Macaca fascicularis: one gene and its partner. The protein of the gene in region 2 interacts with the protein of the main gene of each other region in a biochemical or structural test. Links are inferred from orthologs where the notes say so. Each region holds a gene or a part of one and is shown on either strand. Other genes may lie near its edges.

Region 1 (3,654 bases), on a different chromosome or scaffold from region 2:
GAAATCTCAGATTATTCCAGAAAATTAGTTGGAATTGTACAGCACATTGAAGGAGGAGAACAAATCGTGGAAGATGGAATTGGAATGGCTCACACAGAACATGTATGGTTTTTTTTTCTTCTTCCCCTTTCTCCTTGTTTTTTATTTTTCATATTTTCACCTTCTACTAAGTATTTAATGAGCAATTACAATTTGCTAGTATTGCACCAGTCATTGGAAAGTTTTTTAAAAGTCCCTGTGTTTAAGGAAGTCATTCATCACGGAACAGAGAGAGTTTTAAATGTGGTGACTATTTTATGGAGGAGAAGTACAGGGTGCTTTGGCATCACAAAACGGGCAATGATTTATGGAGGTCAGAGAAATCTTTAGAGAAGAAACAATGTTTAAACTGAGATTTGAAGAAATTCAGTCAAGGAAAAGAGCAGAATGGGGAATGAATTGTCCCAAGAAGGGAGCAATATGTTAAAATGTTTGGAAGTGAGAATTGGACATATTGTAGAGACTTAAAGAAGCTCACTAGTTAGAGCTTTGAATATTGAATGGGACATGACAAGAAAAGAGGATATGGAGAGTTCAAAGCCAAATCATGCAGGATCTCGTCAGCCATGTTAATAAAGAGTTCAGAACTTAGTTTAAGGACAGTGACGAGCCATTGAAGAATTGACATAGGAATGACATGATCAGATTTTCCTTAAGAAAGGCTGTTTTAAATGTAGAAAATGAATTGGAGGAGCAACAAAATTGGAAGTAGGTAGACCTATTAGGATGTTGTTAAAGTTTTCTAGTTAAAATTCTAGAGATGCTTATGGCCTATAATACACTAGGGTAGAGAGAGTGGACACAAGTTGATGGATTTAAGATTTTAAAGAAGTAGAATAGATAGGTCTTAGTGATTAATTGTTAATATTGATTGGATAGGTAACTTGGAGGTGATGAGGCATGATCAGATTCTGGAGGTATTTTGGAATTGGCTGAGGGACTAATGGGCTATGAAAGAGAGGTGATCATCATGACTCCAATTTTGTTTGCTTTCATCCTGATGGATGGAGTTGCCATTTACCAAGACAGAGACAATTAGGTTTGGGAATAGGGGAGACTGGAGATTAGGCATTCCATTTTGCTTGAGATGTCATTTATAAACAGTTGAATTTCCAATGTCTGTGCATTAGGGGAAAGATCTAGCATGGAGATTTATATTTTGGAATTTAATATAGATGGTATTTAAACAACGTCTTGCTCGGTCACCCAGGCTGGCATGCAGTGATGTGATTACGACTCACTGCAGCCTTGACTTCTGGGGCTCAATCAGTCCTCCCACCTCAGCCTCCTGAGTAGCCGGGACTACAGGCACATGCCACCACGCCTGGCTAATGTTTTCTATTTTTCGTAGAGACAGGGTTTTGCCATGTTGCCTAGGCTGAAATTTTAAATATTTCACAGGTAAAATCTTTATTAACATTACAGTTGCTTAAAATTTATTTTCATTTTCTTAGGTACCAGGGACTGCAGAGAATGCCCGGTCATGTATTCGAGCATATTTTTATGATCTACATGAAACTCTGTGTCGTCAAGAAGAAATGGCTCTAAGTGTTGTTGATGCTCATGTTCGTGAAAAATTGATTTGGCTTAGGCAGCAACAAGAAGATATGACTATTTTGTTGTCAGAGGTTTCAGCAGCCTGCCTCCATTGTGAAAAGACTTTGCAGCAGGTAGGTAGTTTAAATGTGGTTAGGGTCTTAGTTGTAAGTTTAAGTAGATAATTACCAGAGGTATACATTAGTGTATTTTATTATTATTTTGTGTCTGCTGTATGCAGTAACTTTGTGCTGAGGACATAGTCTGCAACCTTGAATTATTTCACTAGTGTGGAATTATCAGTGCCCTCTCGTTCATGTGCCCTCCCCATCTTGAGCCATGGGTTCTTGAAGCCTTCTAACTTCTTGCCATTCTTCAGTTAATGCCAAATCCTTTTATTCTTCTTTGCCAAGCATATATGTACTGTTTTTTTTTTTCCTGCTTGGAGTGCATATATCTCTCTTTTCTTATAGTGGAAATCTTCCTTCTCCTTCAAGGTCCAGCTTAAATGTTTGCCTTTCTTTGAAGCTTTCTCTTTGTTGGTCTTTTTTTGAGTGCCCCTCTAGCATGTACTGCCTACCTCTGCTGTAATTCGATGGTTCTTCACTGTTAGAACAAACGTATGTTTTGTGCTGGTTGAGATACCATAAGCAATTTGTTACCCAGTTTGCAGATGACTTACTTTTTTTTTTTTTTTTTTTTTTTTTTTTTGAGACGGAGTCTCACGCTGTTGCCCAGGCTGGAGTGCAGTGGCGCGATCTCGGCTCACTGCAAGCTCCGCCTCCCGGGTTCCCGCCATTCTCCTGCCTCAGCCTCCTGAGTAGCTGGGACTACAGGCGCCCGCCACCGCGCCCGGCTAATTTTTTTTTTTTTTGTATTTTTAGTAGAGACGGGGTTTCACTGTGGTCTCGATCTCCTGACCTTGTGATCCGCCCGCCTCGGCCTCCCAAAGTGCTGGGATTACAGGCTTGAGCCACCGCGCCCGGCCATGACTTACTTTTTAAATAAGTGAGGCTCAAAGTTATTCTGACACAAATGTCAGCCTTACCCATTTGTGTTTTGGATCTGTTTTCCTAAGTGTGAGGTATAAGGATAACTATTGCCCTAGGAATTTCAGAAAAGCTGCAGTCTGTGTTATCTTCACTGATATATTGCTGATAATTGTGTTGATTTCAAATCATTGTAGGCTAAGCCTTTTACCATTGTAGAGCTTTTTCTCTTAAGTATCTGATTACACTTACATGAAAGTGGCCAGTCTATAGCCTCATCAGTCTTGGATTATCATTGAGTCCTTACTACACTGAATTGTAACAGTTGATATGTATGCTATTTATTAAGTTGATTTTCAGCTCCAAACCTACTCTTCTATCCTCTGCTTTGTGATACTAGGGCTAGAACTCTATAGACCTCGTAATTGTGTTGCCAGCTGGACCCATGTTAGGTACTGTCAAAAGGGGGCATAGTTACTCATGTTAGGAGACCACCCTTCCTGGAGGTTTGAGTTTCAGCTCCGTGAGCCCCTCCTGCAAGTTTCTAAGTTTTAATAATTCTAACCTCTTCCTTTTATTCCCTCAGCACTGGAAGTGGTAGCTATATTATTTCATACAATTGCTACCTCCATAATACCTCAGAGTTCCTTTTATCCTTTTAGCTACCTCGTTAATAACCACACCTAGTTAACAGTTTTTATTTTAAGTTCTTTCTATTCAAATAGTGGTGTGATTTGTGTCTTCTGATTTGACCTCGAATGACAATATGCCTGTGTGTTTTAGATGCTGACCTTGTTCATCTTTGATGCATCTTGATGCATCTTGTTCATCTTTGTGTCACTGAATTCTTTGCATCTAGATAGAAGAACTTAATAACTACATGTTTAACTCATGGCGGATAATGAAGCTACACAGCAAAATCAGAGTGGAATCGTGTCCTAAATCATACTAACTTGAATACTTAAAAGTATATTCATATTTATTTTATGAAAAAGTATGTTCATAGTTACTGAAATATTTAAGTGTTTTAGAGTTTCTGAAGTGTTGTGCCAAAATGACTGGTATATTAGTCCATTTTCACACCGCTCCA
Region 2 (3,186 bases):
GCCTGGGCAACAAGAGCAAAACTCCGCCTTTAAAAAAAAAAAAAAGAAAGAAAATCTCTCTCTGTATCTAATCTAAAACAAATTTTTTGGTGGCTTACACTTACAATCCCAGCACTCTGGGAGGCTGAGGTAGGAGGATTGCTTGAGCCCAGGAGTTCAAGACCAGCCTGGGCAACATAGTGAGACCTCAGTCTATACAAATGAAACAGAAAACATTAGCCAGGTGTGGTGCTGTATGCCTGTAGTCCCAGCTACTCAGGTGGCTAAGGTGGGAGGATCACTGGAGCCTAGAAGTCAAGGCTACAGTGACCCGAGATCGTGCCACTCACTGCATTCCAGGCTGGGTAGTGGATCAAGACCATTTCAAAAATAAAAAGTAAAGCAAGTTTTTAATAGTTTTTGGTAATACCCATCACAAAGAGATATTAAAGGATTAATAATGGTGATCTCACTGCTGTTTAATGAGAGAATACTCGTGGGTGTGTGTTGCTCTATAGTTTCCTTCTTTCTCTCACTTAATTCTGAAAACATTCCTGTGAGGTAGACAGTGTCCGAGCTCTTTCTGCCTCTTGGCCAGTCTGGGCCCTGTTCTTCCCATTACCCGCTATTCGGTTGCCCATACTTTCTCCCACCTTTTTTGCCATGTCATGTTTTCTTCCTCAGCTTGTATTCTCCTCTGCTTTTCCTTTGTAATAGCTCATTCCCCTAACCTGTTGCATCTCTCACACCAAATTTCAGACCAAGAGAAAAACGGGATGGGTTTGGGGCAAGTACAGGCCCATGGGTAGGCTTTTTATTCCCTCCGTCTTCATCTCTTCTTTCTCTTAAATGGAGGCATCAGACTTTGTAACCAGTTAGCAGAGGGCATCTTGAAGGAGTTGGTCTTGTTCAGTATCAAAACTCCTGACATTTAACCCTCTGCCTAGTACATGGGCATTCAGTAAATGAGTGAATAAATCCAATTCACATCGTATATTTAGTTAAAAGAGTAGTTTTGCTGGGCGCAGTGGCACTCCAGAAGCCAACACAATGCTTTAGAATGGTGGCCAAATTATGGTGCACCCATGTAACAGTGATTTATAGTAACAGCTAACGGGGTTGGAGGAATGTCTTTAAGTATTAAATTTAGAGAACCCAATTACGGAATACATATTGAAATGAAAATTGAATAACCTGTAACTGGATACTTACCATTCTTCTCCCTCTCCCACCTAACATGGTTTATAATGTAAAAAGTATGGCCATCTATTAGATTCTTTTTAAGGTGAGATTATAGAGATACAAGAGCAAGGAAGAACCAGTTAGTGGGTCAGAAAATGAAACTTCTGTGCTTAAGATGGTCATAAATGATGTAGCTCTGAGCAGAAACTGCTGTCATTTGTCACTAATTTAGCTTCTAGGTGCTGAGATGTGTTTCTCATTTAAATATTGTTTACACTTTCCTACGTGTCAAGGAGAGGTTTGAGAATTGAGGCAAGTTTCCTGCTTCTTCGTAGCTAGGTAGGCTTAGAATGGTTTTAACATTCTTTTCTCATCCACTTTACTTACTTGACCACTGGCTATGGGTTTGTGGCAGTTCTGCATCCATTTCTGTACTTGTTTTGTAAAGAGAATCCACACAGTAAACGAGAGGAGAGAGGTAATCTTTCCATCCTTTGTAGTACACTGTAAAAATTGGGATAGTGCCACCATCTGCTTATTTGTTGATGTATTATTCACAGTGCTGGTCCCAAAGGTGATAACATCTATGAATGGAGATCAACCATTCTAGGGCCTCCAGGATCCGTGTATGAGGGTGGTGTATTCTTTCTCGATATCACTTTTACACCAGAATATCCCTTCAAGCCTCCAAAGGTAAGAAATCTCCCTGTATGCTCAAATTTACTAATTCCCACAAGAGAGCAACTGTTGAGGTTTTTCTAAATTTAATTTTTAATCACAAAACCTAGATTTATCTTATGTCCTATAGATCTGAGTATTTTAACATATACAAAACACTTCTTTAGGTTGATTTTGCCTTATCTGGCAGAGACCATTCTAGGTGTAAGTGCTTTGTTTTGATGGTGCTTAAAATTGCGCTATTTATAGTAATATTGTCATCAACCTAGAATTAATCCCCCGTTTTCCAGCCCATAGAGAAGGGTTTTAAACAGTTAAAAATGGCGTCAAGCCAGGTGCAGTGGTGTGCACCTGTAGTCCGGCTACTTGGGAGGACTGTTTGAGCTCAAGAGTTTGAGTCCAGTCTGGGCAACAAAGCGAGACCCCCAAAAAAGGAGGCAGGACAGGTCAGGGGGTCAAACAACTAGAGAATCAGAATCTCTTACCAAAGTTTTGGATTCTATTCTGCTCCCTGTCATGTTTTGGTCTTGCTCAATTCCTTACCTCCAGGCCTCAGTTTTCTTTCTAGGAGAGGTGGGGATTGCCCAAGTCACCCAGCTCTTGTACTCACCCAAGTCACCCATCTCTTGTACTCAATCTGTGATTCTCATTCAGTCAGAAATAAAACGCAGTCTTTGGGGATTAGGTAGACTGCCAGATAAAATACAGTTGCAGCAACAAGAAGTAATTGAAAGTCACTTTTTTAAAAAACTGGTAAAATTACAGGTAATTTTTACTTTGTGTTTTGGTATATTTCACAAATAAAAATTAAGAGACCAAATAACACCTGCTCATGTGGCTTGTGTTCTGCTGTGGTCCTTGCCCATTACTGGCTCTGCATCCATGGACACTCGATTACATAGATAGTAAATTCTGTGATTTAGGTAGACAGGATGTCTGTGGGACCTGATGTAAAGGTCAGAAAAAAGCAGAAGTAGACTTCTCTTCAAATTTTGTTCAGCTTTTTGGGTGTAGTCATTGTTTGCTAAGTATGTTGTTTAATTATCTTTAGGTACCTATTATGTTGCACTTCAGTTTTTAAGAGAGACTTACGATTTTAAATATTTTAAAGCTTTTAAGTATTTTAAAGCTTACTTTGAGGCAGTGTAGTACTACCAGCTAGCACAAGAGGTCAGCAAACAATTACCTATTCAGACTTGGAAATGTTAATATTTAAAAGATTTAAAATTGCTAAAGATAAAATTAGGAAGTACTGAACTTACCATCAGGGGACGTAACATTTTAAATGAAATTGACACAGTCCCTGAGATGGTCAGTGAACACTTTCTAATCAAATTTATTAAACAA

Evidence for each region.
Region 1: the proteins of UBE2E1 (region 2) and TRIM23 form a complex in vitro, tested with the Homo sapiens proteins (4 studies listed by BioGRID, with this or other methods). The link is inferred for Macaca fascicularis from reciprocal best matches to the Homo sapiens genes UBE2E1 and TRIM23.

Annotation. Positions count from the first base shown.
Region 1 is NC_088380.1:71,305,024-71,308,677, reverse strand, and holds part of TRIM23 (E3 ubiquitin-protein ligase TRIM23), read left to right. Parts: coding exon 1-102; intron 103-1,493; coding exon 1,494-1,709; intron 1,710-3,654.
Region 2 is NC_088376.1:24,467,600-24,470,785, reverse strand, and holds part of UBE2E1 (ubiquitin-conjugating enzyme E2 E1), read left to right. Parts: intron 1-1,721; coding exon 1,722-1,854; intron 1,855-3,186. UniProt on the Homo sapiens protein: Accepts ubiquitin from the E1 complex and catalyzes its covalent attachment to other proteins. Catalyzes the covalent attachment of ISG15 to other proteins. Mediates the selective degradation of short-lived and abnormal proteins.